Linked DNA regions of Pelodiscus sinensis. The protein of the gene in region 2 interacts with the protein of the main gene of each other region in a pairwise test. Links are inferred from orthologs where the notes say so. Each region holds a gene or a part of one and is shown on either strand. Other genes may lie near its edges. The genes, in order: DYDC1 and WAC.

Evidence for each region.
Region 1: the proteins of WAC (region 2) and DYDC1 interact in binary tests that used the Homo sapiens proteins (3 or more experiments, as listed by UniProt). The two-hybrid records come from large-scale screens. The link is inferred for Pelodiscus sinensis from reciprocal best matches to the Homo sapiens genes WAC and DYDC1.

Annotation. Positions count from the first base shown.
Region 1 is NC_134718.1:14,157,484-14,166,030, reverse strand, and holds the start of DYDC1 (DPY30 domain-containing protein 1), read left to right. Parts: upstream 1-4,746; 5' UTR 4,747-4,885; intron 4,886-4,900; exon of another isoform or gene 4,901-5,092; intron 5,093-6,154; 5' UTR 6,155-6,256; intron 6,257-6,348; exon of another isoform or gene 6,349-6,476; intron 6,477-8,547. UniProt on the Homo sapiens protein: Functions as part of axonemal radial spoke complexes that play an important part in the motility of sperm and cilia. Plays a crucial role during acrosome biogenesis.
Region 2 is NC_134712.1:227,347,653-227,356,661, reverse strand, and holds the start of WAC (WW domain-containing adapter protein with coiled-coil), read right to left. Parts: upstream 3,866-9,009; 5' UTR 3,488-3,865; coding exon 3,447-3,487; intron 3,316-3,446; coding exon 3,279-3,315; intron 1,885-3,278; coding exon 1,689-1,884; intron 1-1,688.

The DNA.
Region 1 (8,547 bases), on a different chromosome or scaffold from region 2:
ACTCCTGGTGTGAACAGAAGTCTCAGAGTACTTCTGCAGAGACTTTGATATGTTAAGGAAAACAATCAACAACTGAACTGTCTAAGCATTCTGTATAAAGGATCAAAAAACCTGTAACTCAGGGCTGACTGCTACTGCTCTGCTGCCAGCCTGCATGCATGCATAATAAAGTTTTCCCTTCTAGATTTCTCTCCTGCCTCACTGATTTGACTTCCAGCCTCGGACCCTTCTGGGGGCTCTGTACCCCAGGGGAACGAGATTTCCCCCTCAGTAGCAACGCTAGTTCTCTTAGGGTATGTCTACACTACCACCCTAGTTCGAACTAGGGTTGTAATGTAGGCAACCCGAGTTGCAAATGAAGCCCGGGATTTGAATTTCCCGGGCTTCATTTGCATATTGCCAGGCGCCGCCCTTTTTAAATGTCCGCTAGTGCGGACTCCGTGCCCTGCAGCTACACGCGGCACAGACTAGGTAGTTCGGATTAGGCTTGCTCGTTCCACGAGGAGTAATGGTAGTTCGGAATAGGAAGCCTAATCCGAACTACCTAGTCCGTGCCGCGTGTAGCTGCGGGGCACGGCGTCCGCACTAGCGGACATTTAAAAATGGCGGCGCCCGGCAATATGCAAATGAAGCCCGGGAAATTCAAATCCCGGGCTTCATTTGCAACTCTGGTTGCCTACATTACAACCCTAGTTCGAACTAGGGTGGTAGTGTAGACATACCCTTAGCTGGGAATAATCCCTCTGGCTGGGTTTTAAATTATACTGGTTTTGTTCTTCAAGCATGTGTTTCTGCTTTTCTTCATCCAGGGACTAAAAAACATTTATTTGTCTGAGGCTACATCTACACTGGCATGATCTTGCGCAAGAACCCTTTTGCGGAAGAGTTCTTGTGCAAAAACTCTTCTAGAAGAGAGCGTCTACACTGGCATGTGCCTTTGCGCAAGAGATGTGCTTTTGCGCAAGAGCGTCCATGCCAGTGTAGACGCTCTCTTGCACAAGAAAGCTCTGATGGCCATTTTAAACATAGGGCTTTCTTGCACAAGAAATTCATATTGCCTGTCTACACTGGCCTCTTGCACAAGAACAGTTGTGCAAGAGGGCTTATTCCTGAGCGGGAGCATCAGAGTTCTTGTGCAAGAAGCACTGATTTCATACATTAGAACGTCAGTGTACTTGCGCAAGAACTCGCAGCCAGTGTAGATAGGCAGCAAGTTTTTGCACAAAAGCGGCCGCTTTTGCACGAAATCACGCCAATGTAGACACAGCATAAGAGTACTGTTCTACCTGGTAGCATTGGTTTGGGGAATACAAGCTTGAAGACCAAACCTTCTTTCAAAGGTTTCCTTGAACAGAGTACTTGTGTGAAGAAGGCTGCAGATTTTTGACACTTTTGCCTGGGCACCATATAACTTCGCCTCCTTGAGACCATGGTCAGTGAGTTGCAGAGTATAAGCAAAGCAACTGTGTCTCTTAATTCGAGGTCCACTTGAGTTTACATGATGGATGACCGATGTAACGACTTCTGGGTTTAAGTCTTCACATAATTCTTCATTTTCCAAAGTGTCATCTTGCATATCAATTTGCTGCTCTGATTCATGGTTGTTAAATGCTATGATGAATGCTTTACGCATGTCCGCAGCATTGTCTGTTATAACATATCTAATTTTATCCTTTATTTTATAAGAATCACATATGTTCTCAAACACTTCTGCAATGTTCTCACCAGTATGCTGGCCAAGGAACCTTTCACATGACAACAATTTGTCACGAGCGCGTACCTTATTATCATGTGGGCTGTTACTCCCCAAAAGCCTCTCATTCTTCTATCTGACCAGATGTCGAGCGTCAGTGCAATTGTGTCCACCTCAGTAAGAAGTGCCAACACATCAGCTTTCACATTATGGTACAAATTGTCCAGTTATGTCATAACCAAAGACCGACTTATTTCTTGTGACTGGGGATCCAACACATGACAAAATCGCCTGAACTGTGGTTTTTCTGCTATTGAAAGTGGTAGTAAGCAACCAATTATCAGTTCTATAACCAAAGAACTGACTATTCTTCTTTGTTTAGGATGATTTATTCCATAAACACCTTGATTATCATGCTTTATAAATGAAATCCGATATTTTACACGGTGAGGCGGGATCAATTGTGGTTTGTCGCAGATATTTTTCGTACTCACTGTGCTTTCGCGGATGGGTTTTTATAAGGCGCAAAAAATTGGAAGTTGTTGCAATGCCATCAGTGATTACAACCCCACATAATTTGCACTTCGCTGATCGTGTTTTCTCTGGATTTATTGATTTGACCGAAAAAAACAAAGTTTAGGACATTTTGATTTTTCTTCCTCATTCTTCACAGACGGATATTAACTTTTTGATTATTTTAATTTTGTTTGTTCACTATGAAATTTCAAAAATGGCATATTAATGTAAAATTTCATAAACAAACACACAATCAATAAAATTTTCACAAATCCCAAGCCAATAAACTATTTTCGCATTGTTGTTGTCGTAGCTCTACGTTAAAGCCAGAAATTGCGCCTAGATGCGTTCAAAACAATGAAAAAAAATGAAACACATTCACCATGTATTGCATCGTTTTGAAAGAAAAGTAACCCACAACAATGTAGCATACTGTTGACAAGTAAATGGGATATTTTTATCAATTCATTTTTTACAACTCTGAAATCTCGCATCTTCATGAATATAATAATTGTTTACGTCATTGAAATACTTATGGTTGCCAGGTGTCCGGTATTTTCTGATTTTTCCGGCTGCGCACCGGACAGAAGCCTGCGTGGGCGGGAGGAGCAGCTGGAAGGCGGGGCCATGATCGGCGCTAGGAGCCTGTGACTGCGCAGAAGCCTGGTGGGGGTGGGAAGAGTGGCTGGGACTCTTAGCTACTTCCCCCACCCCCACCAGGCTTCTGATGCGCCAAGAGCAGCGATCGCGGCCCCGCCTCCCAGCCTGGGAATCCCAGCTGGGAGGTGAGGATGCGTTGGACGCTCTGGGCGCATCAGAACAGCGGCATTTTCGGACATTTTTTTCACCAAGTCGCTTCAACAAAATTAGCAAGTTAAGTCACAAACCATGAACCTTAGTCGAGTCTCAAGTCAAGTCATCTAGGTGACTTAAGTCGGACTCGAGTTCAAGTCGTGAGACTCGAGTCGACAACTCTGGAACACTTCAATCTTCCTGGACACACAATTGCAGATCTAAAAGTAGCCATCCTGCAGCAAAAAAACTTCAGGACCAGACTTCAAAGAGAAACTGCTGAGCTACAAGTCGACACTTGCCAACAAGGACTTAACAAGAATTTGAACTATCTCACCCATTACCAAGACAGTTTCCCCAATTATCACCTGTAATACCATTAACTCACAAACATCCCACTCTCCCTACCTTTAATATCATCAATTCACAGACACTTACCTTCCTTCCTCCCCCTCCCCCCCCCTCCGCATCCCCCTTCTGTTCTGCAATGTGATTTGTCCTTTTCATATTTGTTCATTTTTTTAATTGCATCCTTTGGTATATATGGTTGTGACTACTTTCTTCCACTATTTGATCTGAGGAAGTGGGTCTGGCCCACGAAAGCTCATCATCTAATAAACCATCTTGTTAGTCTTTAAAGTGCTACATTGTCCTGCATTTTGCTTCAACTACCCCAGACTAACAGGGCTACATTTCTATCAGTATTCTGCTGAGCTACAGTTCATCTTTAAGTTTGACACAATCAGCTCTGGATTAAACAAAGACTGTGAATGGCTCGCTAACTACAAAAGCAGCTTCTGCTCTCTTGGAATTCACACCTCCAGATCAGCTGCTAGAAGTGGGCCTCATCCTCCTTGATTGGATCCACCTCGTCATCTCCAGCCTGATCCTGGCCTGCATATTTATTCCTGCCTCTGGAAATTTCCACTTCATGCATCTGACGAAGTGGGTCTTTGCCCACGCTTATGCTCCTACACTTCAGTTAGTCTATAAGGTGCCACAGGACTCCTCGTCGCTTTTGCAGATTCAGACTAACACGGCTACCCCTCTGATACTTGACAACTCTGGTGTCTACCTCAACTGCGTAGCTTATTTCCAAATAGCTTATTTCAAAATAGGGAGCATCTACACAGCACTTATTTAAAAAATAGAGCACTCTTCCTCCGAGTTCCCTTATTCCTCCTCCAACGAGGGTCAGCGTAGTCCTCCAGCTTGACAGTATTTTGACACTATTTTGAAATACCTGCCTGCTACGTAGACACGGACTCAGTTATTAGGAAATAGTGTTGCCGTGTAGACGTACCCTCAGTCTGGCATTCTGGCGCTCCAACAAGGAATGCAAGATTCTGTTTAACCTGTTAACCCGTTACCTGCGTGTGCCAGTTAACCAGTTACCGGCGTGCGCGGGGCGCTGGTTAACCAGTTACCTGCACCCAGTAAGGGTGGTGCTTACCAGGTAACTGGTTACCCGTTTACATCCCTGCCCCAGCTGTCCAGTTGCTGGGTTCTTGGGCCCGCGCCATCAACAGATCGAGGCATTCGCCCTCCACGCGGGGGGCGCTGGCCCGACGCTCACGTTACGCGGGTGGAAGCGGCAGCGGTTTGTCTCGTGTGACGATCGCTCGCCCCCTGGCGCACGGGTCAGGCCTATGTCCCCGGGCTGGCAGGGCGGGGCTGCGCTTCGAGACCCCAGGCGCGAGCTGCCCTCAGGCAGCCCGGGGGGTTAACGCTGCCACCTTACTCACGTGACAGCCCCCAGCGCCAGCTCCGCCACCAACCCTCCCGCCCGGGCCACGCGGACGGCTGCCTAGCGACGGGACGCTCCCGGGCTCGCGCCTAGAGGAGGGCGTGCTGGTTGAGGCTGCGCGAAGCGTCGGAGCAAAGGTCGGCGCGTCCCCCCCCCGCCCTCCGACGGTTGAGCCCCCCCCCCGTGGGCGCGCGCCGCGGACCGTTGGGCGTCGTGGCGGTTCGCGGGCCTGAGCTGCGCTGCTGCTCGGCCACCCCGTAGGGCTCCCAGGCGGCAGCGGGGAAGCGCCGGGGCTCGGGCCGCGTCTCTCCCGGCTGGGCTTCGCCCCAGGGAGCCTCCGCTCGGTGTGGTGAAGGGCGGCTCTGCCCTCTCGGCGAGGCCCACCGGGAGCCGTGCCGGCCGTAGTCCCTGACCGCGTCTCCCAGCGGCCGCCCCTCACCCCCACGGGGGTCTTCGTGTCCGCAGCAAAGCTTAGGCACCCGGGGCCCAGCTGCCGCAGACGGGGCTGGCCGCGCCCCCACAGGCTGGGAGCCAGCCCCAGTGCGGGGCTGGGGGCTGCTCCAGCCCGGATTTCGCGCCAGGCGTTTAACCGGGCGAGCCCGGAGGTTTAACGTTTAACCGGCTGGCGGGCGGGCTGGGATTTCGCATCCGAGTGTGCATCCCTTTGGCAATCTTAGCCATGTCTGCAGCAGCTGGAGAGGGATGCTCCCTGCGGTGGGGGCAGAGAGGCCTGGGCTCCAGGAGGGGAGGAGGAATAAGCTGGGCCAAATGGTCAGAGCCGTCTCTGGAGCCTGCAACTATTTCCAGTCGTCTGTGGGGGCCTATTCGAAACCCCAGGATGTTCAAGCTGGATAGCACCAGCTCTGTTGGCTGCTTGTCAAGAGTCTGACTTGTCACTTGGGAGTGCTGCTACATACATTGCAAATCAGAATACACACTCAGCCAATGCTCTCTTTAATGTTTTCCATCCATGTGCAGAATAAATTTTATGTGCACAAAGGCATGTGCAGATATGCAGGAACAGCAGAAAAAAACATGCTGCCAGCTATAGGTAGTCTGCCAATCAGATGGGTGGCATTTGAATCTTTGCTGAGCGGCGGGGGTGGGAGGGTGGCGGCATCTGAACACTTAGCTTACAGCAGAGGTGGGGAACCTTTTTGGCTCAGGGGTTGCTGACCCACAGAAAAATCAGTCGGGGTCTGTACACAAGTGAGAAGCAGTATAGTAAGAAGTAGTATAAAAGGTTCTGATCATGCAAATGCTTGCACAGAATACATAAACAAAAAGTACATTCTGAGTCAAGATATTTTTAGTCTCATGTATGGTAGGGGTGAGACATATGCCCATATATATAGCCCTTTATGACATTTATAGATATCTCATTCCTAACTGTTCTTTTGTTGTAGAAATGGTTTAAACAAGAAAATCAAGCATCCCAAAATCAAAAGTGAAAAAACCATGCAAAGAATGTAAATATATTTGAAGAGTTGGCTGAGGAATCCTTTGAGGTGAGTGGAAAGTATAGAACCTTCAGGAGGTAAGTGGGTTCAGATGTGCATTTTGTGGAGGTGCATTGTGACAAAACACTGGTATATTGCCAGTGTGCCAGAAAGTATGGTCTGAATTTAAGAGACCATAGCAAAGGGGTATCTGTAAGAGATCAAAAGGAAGGAAAAGCTTATGATTTTTCTGATCCCACTTGTGTCAGGAACCTAGTTCTTGCTTCATGTGCGTTACTTGCCTTTAGATAAGATCTGTTTTTTTAAAATTGATCACACACAGAAATGATTTAAATTCTATGTAGCTTCTAGATTCCTTTTGAATGAGCATTTAATTCAGTGAAGTTGTGTGTAATTAAAGACAGGAAATAGCTAATTGAGACTGTTCATTAGAACTAATAGAATAGAGCACTATAAGGAACACTGTAGTGATCATGTACTATTGTAACTAGAGATAAGTGAATATTTACTGAAGTTAAACTGTGTTAAGCAACTGTAGCTTGAACATCCCTGGTTCAGCACCTTCAGGACCTGACTGGTGCCGGACCAGGAGATGTCAATTGCAGACCCTCTGCTGCCACAGTCTGTTGGGTTCTTTTATGATGGCAGCAGAGGGGCCAGCATGGAGGGAGTGGGAATGGGGAGTGCTTGGTAGAAGAGTCAGGGAGAGTGTGGTGCCTGTGGCCAGCATCGGATTCCTGCAGCTGCTGGTCTGCGCTCCTGGCCCCTGTGTGCCTGCACCTCTGGCCATGGGGCACCACACCCATCCTGTACCTTTCCCTGAGTGCCCCCCATCTCCACACCTTCCTTTTCATCTCTGAGCTTAAACACTGCAAGTGGGCTATTTGTGGCACTCTGCAAGCTCTGAGAGGAAGGGAGAGGAGTTGCTGAGTGCAGGGCCTCCGGCTGTTCCCCGTGAGTGCTCCGATCCCGGACCACTCATGGATGCTGGATTACAGATGTTGCTGGATGAGGGAAATCCGGTTTATAGAGGCTTAACCTATTCTGCTTCATGGAAATTATATTGTGAAATAAATGGAGCAGAATTATATTCTATGTTTTGGTTATGTATTAAGGGATGTCAGTGGTTAACTGGTGGCAGCTGGAGCAGCCCTCAGGAATCTGCTCCAACTCAGCCGGAGCAGGCTCTGACCGCAGCGAGGAAACCGCTTCCCCCGCCCACCCCATTTAATTGGTTTACCGGCTAAACTTAATATTTAACTAATTAAACAAGATTTTGCATCCCTATTGCATACACAAAATATTTTACAGGCAGTCCCCGACTTACGCGGATCCGACTTATGTCGGATCCGCACTTACGAACGGGGCTTTCTCGCCCCGGAGGTCGAGGTGGCGGATTGCTACCTGTGAGCTCCGGGGCGAGAAAGCCCCGTTCGTAAGCTGCTCCGGTGCCCCTGGTCTGCTGGAGACCGTCTCCAGCAGACCAGGGGCACCGGGCGGGTTCCCGCGCTTCTGAGGCTTTGTCAGAGCAAAGCCTCAGAAGCGCGGGAACCCGCCGCTGCTGCGGCTTCAGTCCCGGTGCCTGTGGTCTGCTGGGGGGGGGGGGGGACTTACATACAGATTCAACTTAAGAACCCCAAGCTTCCCCAAGTCAGCTGCTGCTGAAACTGATCAGCTCTGATTCTAGGAAGCCTGGGGCAGAGCAACTCTGCCTCGGGCTTCCTGTAGTCAGCGCTGGTCAGTTTCAGCAGCGGCTGACTTGGGGACGCCTGGGGCAGAGCAGCTGGGGTGCTGCTGGGTTGCTCCAGTAGCACCGCTCCTCGGTGCTACTGGACCAACCCAGCAGCACTCCAGCTGCTCTGCCCCAGGCGTCCTGATTCAGCCACTGATGAAACTGACCAGCAGCGGCTGAATCAGGACCTGGGGCAGAGCAGCTGGGGTGCTACCGGGTTGGTCCAGTAGTGCCCAGAGCGGCGCTGCAGGACCAATCGGCAGCGCCCCAGCTGCTCTGCTCCAGGGTCCAAACAAAAGCCTGGTCTGCTGGGGGGGGCCACTAGCCGCATCCCCCCCCCCCCAGCAGACCAGGGACACCGGGAGCAGAGCCGCAGCGGCAGCGGGGTGCCGTGCCTCTGAGGCTTTGCTCTGGCAAAGCCTCAGAGGTGCGGGACCCCCCTGCGGCTGCCGCTTCAGTCCCGGTGCCTGCGGTCTGCTGGGGACGGTCCCCAGCAGACCACAGGCACCGGGACTGAAGCGGCAGCAGCGGCGGTTCCCCGTGCTTCTGAGGCTTTGCTCTGGCAAAGCCTCAGAAGCGCGGGAACCCGCCCGGTGCCCCTGGTCTG
Region 2 (9,009 bases):
GAAAATATTACAAATTTTACTTCAGTTAATAGTCTTAGGTCTTATTAGCATTTAAGTAAAGGTTTATTTTAAACTAACTTAAAAATATCTGTGCATTTCAACAAATTATGTTATGTAAGTTTTCTGTAACCCTGAAATTGGAGATACAGGGGGAGTACTGAGGTAACTACTTCAGCATGGATACAGTTAGTCACATACTGGAACAATCAACAGTATAGTTTAGTGCAACTATAGAACACACTAACCTGTGTTTAAAATCAGGTAGCCCTTTATATGTACTGGGCATTATGGACATAGATATATCAACACCTAGTCAAGAAGTTCCAGTTGTGTCCAAACAGCTCATTCCAATTCATAAAAATAGTATGAGTATGCCATTCTTCTTAATGGTATCATTAATTAAAATGCATGCAGTTTAAACTTTTGTGTAACTATTCCAGAGCGTAAGTAGGCTCTGCCCATTTGTTCTATACAATTTCTGTTACTGACAATTTAACATTGAGTGAAACAATTATATTATGTTTATGAAATGTAAGGAAGACATGATTTCTAACTATGTAAAGAATACTTAGAGTGTAACAATCACTTCAATCTATTTCACTTTTTGTCATTTAAACTTTATTTAAAAGGGCTTGCATTCACTTATGCAAACATTTAAGACTACTTGTTACACCTACTAAAACCACTCTGAACATGTCACCATTATCAAAATACACTGAATTTTTCACTCTATGAAGGAAAGGGGAAAGAGGAGGAAATGGAGAAGTAACCTTCTGTTGCCTCTAGATATTCCAATATCTACACTACATTATCCACTACATTATCCCCCAACACCACTGTATGCAATAAAACCCTGCATCACCAACCATTCAGTTCAGGTGGACTTGAAAACTTCAATTTACTTCTCCTATTTTACAGAGAAAATGTATTCAATACTCAGCTTCCCACTCCTTCCCTTCCAAATGCTTCTGTAATGACCCTTCAAACATTTACACATGTGCTTACTTTTCCTATGGTAAGTTTCATGGAAATCAGTTGAACTCCTCAGAGCAGTAAAAAGTTAAGGAAAATAAAAGTGTTAAGTGTTTGAAGGATCAGGGCCTTCGAGAGCAAGTAACTAGAACTAGAAATTAAATGGCACTGCAGAACAGAAGCTTATCAGGCATATATCATATTTGGAAATGTAACATTTAGATGAACAGCACATCAAAAATATTAATCCAAGTTAATCTGTGGACATTTCCTTATGCACGAACACATTATGAATAATTAAATAATTGAACAGATGACACACTATCAGCAGCTGGAACTCTGATGCTTCAAAACCAATGGAAGAATAAAAATGTATTTTGCTTATGGAAACATCTAAAATGTAATCCAATTAAGATGTTCTCATAAACTACTCTTTCCAGCACCTTTAGAAGTCACCTTAAAAATGCACCAATACCAAAAAAAATTAATTGCTTTAATCTCTTGGTGTCTTTGTTGACATCTACTATTTTTTGGAAGAAAAAAAGAATCAGTTTAATATAAAAGACTCAAGGCAATGACCTCTGGTGGAACTGAGTACCAGTGCACAGTCTTCTCACCATTGTGTAAGACATGTCACTTGTAACTGTTTTACTTATTATTTCAATAAAATTTAAATCAGATTACTGCTTAAATAAAAATGATTAGAAACAACTCACCTCCATCCCTCTCTCTAACTCTGTGAGTATGCACACTTTTTGCTTTACTGTGCCCTGTGCTGTCACTATATTTGTTTTCAGGGCTATCAGACCGTCGCAACATTTTATTTGGTGGTGAAGGATCTGCGGTGTCTCGCATCTTGTCATGACGGTGATCACCACCACTGGGGTGACTCTTTGATGAGTATTTAAGAGTCTGCAAGAAAATACATTTTAAATTAATTTAATTTTTGTAGCAGTTAACATCACTTCCAACTAACAGAAAATCTAATTTTTCAAGATAAGTAAAAATTTTCACTTCAGTGAATATTTAAGCCACATATTAGCACTTTAGGAACACAAGTAGAATAAGGCTTTCCTATGTTAATTATATATATAAAGTAAAAAATTCTAATTTAGCTTTTTTACCTAATTTTCCTACTGTGGTTTCAGTGTGGAATATCTCCTATAATAGGGTATTAGAATTAAACTGCAATTCCTTGAATTCTTATTCATCTTGTGTTACATACATTCAGCACTACACAGACTGCTTTCTTCATTTTGGGGAGGACAAAATATTCAGGTGTTTAATAAGTAACTGAATAAAAACAGATTACAAATTCTGCTTGAACCACAGTGTACACACTACAAATTTCATCAAGACACCTAAGCTCACCCACCACCTTGAATTTCCATAACAAACTTTATTTGAGCACAAGAACTAAGATAGTATTTAAAATGAGACTGAATAAGCAGGTGTGCGGGGTGTAGCGGGAAGCTTACTTTGTGTTCATTCTGGAAAATGTACACATTGGAAGCAGCATGATCAACATCTTTCACCCATTTGCTTTCATAATGCAAACTTCAGGATGGGGGAATGTTTACATTTAGGTGAACTGTCACTGACAACTTTCAGTTGTCACACTGTTTCACAAGCAGCCTGCCACATGCCTAGAAATTTCATAACAGCCCCTCAAATGTGTACACTCAAGAGAGCACAATACTCCACTATACTACTCATGGTGATAAGTGTCCTCAAAATACACAGTGCAATACCCACTGCTCCCCAAGAACTGGGTTTCCATGTGCACAAGGAGAGGGAGTACATTATGCCTCTCAAAGTACTTTCTTAGTTGGCACAAGGATTTTGATGCAGATTTCTGAGTGCAGCCTGTAGCCCCAGTAATCTGGTGCCTATAGGGTGCCCTGCTCAGGTCACAGTCCCAAGCAGGGATTTGGGGAGCAGGAGGTGCTTTCCAAAGGGGCCTTTAGAGAACAAATTTTACTATCTATTTTTCACTAATTGGATACTGACTCATTCTCCCGCCCCCCCCCCTCCCGGCACTGAAGGCCGAACTCTACACAAGACCGCGCTAGGCCTCGCCTCACTTCTCTGCCTCTGTCCCGGGCGGCGCAGAGGTAACTGGGACCTCGCGCCCCTCACATGTAAGCGCCCTCCTCCCCAGGACTAAGGGGCTTGTGAGGGGAGGAGACAGGGAAGTGGCTGCACCGCGGCCTGTGTCGGCGGACGAAGCCTGCGCTGGAGTAGCTCCCCCCTCCGCTCTCTCCCCCGCTCCTCCTCCTAGGCCTAGCGGCCGGCGCTGCAAGTACCTGGTAGGGCTGGGAGTCCCCCCTGCGGTCGTGACAGCTGGAAGAGAGAGAGAAAGAGACGTTAGCGAACAACCGTTACCGGCCGCCGAGGGGGAGGGGTACCACAAACATGGCGGAGGGTCTGGGGGAGCCCCCCGCGGGTGGCGGGGAGGAAGGAGGGGGATTTACCCATCACTGAGTCTCTGCTGTTTCCTCGCATACATTACCATCAATGCCCGGCCTGTGTGTGTGAATGTGAGGGGACCAGGAGGGGACGGCCGCGGCCGGGCCACAGGCGCCGAGGGGGGAGGAGGGGGAGGCAGCGCTCCGCCTCACCACCGACCGGGACAGGGAAGGGGAGGGAGGGAGGGGGCGGCTCAGGCAGCTCAGCTGGGAGCAGCGCTCACGGGCCCATCTCCGCTCCGCACAGCGGAAGGGGACACGCCACAGCTCGGCCCCGCACACTCTGAGACACTGAGGAGCTCAGACTCCGCTGCCGCTGCCTCCTCCCCCCGCTGCGCCCACAGCCGCCGCCGCTCCTCCAACTACATCCGGGAAACTCGGGCGACGCCGTGTTCGGTTCACGTCGGGTGTTTTCGGCTGTTTTCGGCACACTCCTCCCACTCAGTCCCCTCTGCTCTAGGGCGGCCGTGCCTTCGGGAAACATCGGCTCTTTTCGCCAAGTCCAACGCCCTTAATCTTCCCCCTTCGGGCAACATCGGCTCTTTCCGCCACCAGCCCTCCGCTAGTCCGCAACCAGCCCCGGGAAAACATCGGCTATCGCCGTAGAACGTTCCTCTGTATTCGGAAAGTTTCGGGGTTTTCCGTGACCCTTCACCCCCCCTCCCCCCAGCTCTGCGACCACTGCCGGTTGGAGCGCTCGGGGAAAGCAGCTGGTCGGAGCGCCGGGCTGGCTCATTGGTTAAGAGCCCCTCTCCTCTTGCGGGGCATGGCAAGCTCTTGAGAGGCGTGCTCCGCGCTGCTACCGACAGCCTGGGGTGAGAGCGCTGCTTACCAGTTAGTAGCTCTGCCGGCTGCCGGCGGAGGCTCTTTGGCCAGGTCGGACACAGCAGGGGCAATAGCAAGAGAGAGGGGCTTCTCCAAGCCGGATTGAGAAAAGGGAGGCTGGAAAGGGTCCGCCTCAAGCCTAGGAAGCAGCTTATATACGTCCTGTGTTCGGAGAGAAAGCGCGGCAGAGAAGAGGTTAAAACGACCCTGTGGGAGGCTCGCAGCTGGCTGCTTGGGTTGTGAGTGTGTCCCATGCGCTGCCCTTTGCGGTGCTTGTTTGTCTCGTAGCAGCCCCAGTGGATGTGTAAGTCCTAAGACTCGAAAGCCGGAGCTTTGTTCCTATCTGTGTTAGGCATGTGCCTTAGTTATCACCGCCATAGTTGCTGTGGGAGTTGGGTAGCAATAAGAAGAGCCGCTCCTGTGGGGTTTCCTCTCAGGCTTTTTGTAGCTCTCAGAGCTGTTTCTAGCGTCTCCGGCAGGTTTTTTTTTCTCTCTAGCGTCTCCAGTTGTGTTTGGTGGTGGGTTTTTTGTTTTGCTTTTTGGCCTACACTTAGTAGCAAGAGGGTAGAGAGCAGTGAATGTTGGGGTATCCCTGGCACTCGCACCAGCTCCAGTCTCGGTGGCCCTACCAAGCTCTTCCGTGTAGACAATGTGCATCCTTCACTGCAGAGTGCTCTTATCCAAACTGCTCCCTGTGTCCTGAGGAGAGCGAAGAAAAGCAGCTCTCCAGAGGCGGGCAAGTTCACAAAACATGCTTCTCTAATCGAAATGCTAAATCTCCTTCTAAGCCCTGCTCATATATGCATTTGAAAATAGAGTACTGAATTGATTCACTATAGGCAGACCTGGGAGGTACTGAGAGTGGAGATGGTACTTATGCTTAAGTATCATATGGAGAAAATACCTTTCTTTATCCTTGACTTTGAGTATTTCTAGTAACAATCCCTACATTTCTATTCTCAATAGAAAAGACCATATTTGTAGAGTAGTTTTATATCAGTGATCAAACACTGAAATTTTGAGCCCAAAAGGAGTTAGGTTTTTTTCCAAGAAAGTCATGCATGTCTGATAAATAGGCAGCTACAATGAAAACTGGTTTGTGATAGTTTTGTTGTAATGAAGGGTTGGACTTCATTTAATGTAAACATCCAATAATTATTAAAAGACACTCATTTAAGCACTCAGCAAATAAATGGAAATTCTGGGACCTTGAATTCTGGCCCTAGTCATTTATTCTCTAGATTGGAAAAGCCTGGGAACACCACAGAAATTGTATCTTTGGGGCTGTAAAACTTAAGTCTGAGGAGATGATGTGTTTTTTCTTTTAAGCAGAGTGTTCTATCATGGCTATGTTTGTACTGGTTTGTTAGCATAGGGTTGCTCACAAAAGCCCAGCTACAAGCGTTTTTATTTTGTTTTTCTTTTTTAAATAAAAGTGCTGAAGGGTGTTGCTGAGAGAAAACTCAAAGCAGTGGCAGAGTCCACTTAGAGGGTGGAGCCTGGAGGATGACTCAGCAGGGAGCGGTTCTGCAGGGTTACAATAATGAGCTGGTGAAATTCATGGAAGACTTATGCCTGCAAAGAGAAGAACTGAACAAACAGATCAAGGAAGCGGAAGTGGAAAAAAATAAACTCCAGCATGAAATCCAAATCCTGAATGAGCAACTGGAGTGTGTCTGTGAAACTTTGACCCAAAAGACAGCCTCACGGAACGAGCTTGATAAAATCCTTGCAGAAACTGAAGCTGCTTATATGAAGATTTTGGATAGTTCTAGAATGCTGCTAAATGTCCTGAAGAAGGAAGTGGGGAATTTAAACAAAGCTGCAGAACTGAAAAGCAATGTGTCCTGAAATACCCAAACGCTTGGACTCACCACAATCACAATGCCTCTTGCTCAGAAATAAGGTTAGCCACAGAACACTATGATGAGCATTTATCTGAGAAAGGACTCTACCTTATTTTTTTATATGTTTTAGCACATTTTAACATCATGGAAAATAATGTACAATAAAGATAAATAAAGGTGCAGTTTTGCTAAAAAAATTCCTATAACTATCTTTACAACACCTATGAAAAATTATACACTCTGTAAATAGATTTTAGGAAAATAGAGGTCAGATTTTGCACTAGGTTTGGCATGATGTTTACTTGCCCTTACAGTTGTTAGTCAAGGAAATAATTTTTTGATGTACTATTCAAGCCCTGAATGTTCACTGCTGAGTTTCATTGAGATTTATTACTATTCCTTAAATCTGAAAAGAAAAAGCACTTTTGTCTCTCTTCAGTCACACCTCTAGCAATGGCAAGAAGACTTGTTTGTGACTTCTGAAAGAAATTCAGTCCAGTTCTCTCTTACCTGGGGAACATTGTCACTGAGCCCTGGGAAGAAGAAAGGGATGCTATAAAATGAGGTAAATGCTGAATATGGACAAAATACTTTGGGCTCCTTTTGGCTGAGTCAAGATCATGATGATTAATTGTTTTTAGTGGTTGCTAGCCAAACAGAAATCTGTTAACAAATTCTTCTTTTTTAGGGTCTGCTGTCTATCTGAAATTTGCCCATAATTCAAACTCAATATTTAATTTTATAAAGATGGTATCCAGAGGCTCTATGCATTTTTGTGTTGCTTTAAGGCCCACCTACACTCCTTCTAAAATAAATGGAACATGAACACTTAGTCATTTACATCAATATATGTTAAAAGTAAGTATTTTTCCCCTTTTAATACTAGTTAAAAAGAACTCTCAAAACTGAATTTCTAAAATTTCAGTTGGCCATTTCCTTATAAAGTGTGTGGCAACTGTAAACTTGCATACTGGGAGAAAACAGCTTCCATCACTTTTATACCAAGTGGTATTCTAATGGGAAATTCTGAGTCTTTAGAAATCTTGACCATACATGGCCTAACTTATTGTGATAGTTCTTATCACTGTAGAATCTTCATACAACTTGTTGCAGTGACAATTTTTTACTTAACTTTGTAGAAGCTGTCTGTCTACTGGGATCATCTTCTCTGAGGGCAAAAGACAAAACAACCTGAAGACTTTATTTTGGATTCACTTGTGTAAAATGTCTATTATTCATGTATTATAGACTCCAAAGAATTTTGAAGAATATGGGTGGGAGAGTTCTAAATGCACATTAAGAAAATAATATTAAAGATGGTTCTCTAGTTTTGAAGTTTTCTTTTGAAAGTGATTAAAAACCTAGTTTAGAAGGGCAAAGAAGAGAAAATGGCAGAAATCTCAATTCTAATCCTGTTTTCTATTTCTAGTATGTATTAAATCTTTTATATTGCCCTGCACAGTAACATATTGTAGCACTAGGTTTGTTCTTAGATGTGCCTGGCAGTAAAATCTTTCATACAGGTTCTATACATTTAAAAGACTGCAGTTATACACTGCCTGATAAGTAAGGGTAACACAAACAATGAATCCCTCAGATGTAAGAGTAAAGGGTTTGTTACTGCACATTGTCTCTAGTTAATTAGTCTATATTCAGTTTTTGCATCCTCCTGATTCCCCTATGTACAGTGCTGCTTTTAAAAAAAGTCTCATGGGGATAGGATGGCTGAGCTAATAAACAATTTGTTCAAGTACCATTTCTGCTAGTCTCTTGAAAAATACAAAACTAGCCACTATTAGGGATTCTGCTATTGTTTGGTACTGTAACTCTAATGAGGTAAAATCCTGCATTCTTGTTTTTATTTTACTTCACAAATTACTGCAGATATTTTTGACTGAGTCTGAGCTTCTGTCTATCCATCCACATGTTTGATCTGCTTACCCTGTCTGATCCTGCTGAGTATTGATTACTATGTCATGTTTGTTACTGACATCACAACCTTAGATTTTTCTTAGTCTCTAGATAAGTACAGCAAGGACTTCTGTCCTAGCTTGGCATGTAGTTGTTTTACTTAGACATAAAGAATTTCAGGTGGAAAAAGAACTTGTATCATGAAAGCTCTGGTTACAGAGAACTCAAATGGCAGCTTCATACCTCTTGTATTTCCCATGTCATTTGGAAGGAGTGAGTGAGAGGCAGTTTGTCAATAAAATAACTATATCATATGCAATAAGCAGTATTTCCTATTACCATGCTTAAGCAATTAAAACTTTAGTTTAATTTTACAATTTATGTACAACATCAGCTAGTACAGACAAAATTGAAATACTTGTGCTGATAACATTTTTTTTTTTTTAAAAGCCAATGATTGGCTACCAAATGCAAGCAAATACATTTATTATCCCAATATCTCAACACAATGGGAATACAATTTAAATGGTCATATGCTGCTAACTGAAACTCAGCTGAAATTAGTGGACAGTTCCGAAGCACAGATGGAGGGCAGAGTATGGCCTTATGTCTGCTCTGTTAGGGTATCTCTACACTACGGTGTTATTTTGAAATAGCTCATTTTGAAATAAAGTGTCTATGCATAAAATGCATTTTGAAACAGCATTTTGCTATTTCGAAATAGCATGTCCACCCTGAGTGCATTTAAGGCTGGCCGGAACCAGTTCTAGCAGGGCACCAGGACAGGACTTACTGTGTGGGGCTGCTGCCTGAGGTCTGTGCTTAAAGGGACAGCCAGTTCTCAGGTTTCCCTGCTTGCTTGTCTACCTCACTGAGGGACAGCAAAGTATTTTGTCTCTGCATGCTCTGGTTGCCCTCACTCGGGACACCACAGCACTCTGCAATATGGAGCCAGAGCTGCCCCTAGGCACTCTGGTGCTTCTCTT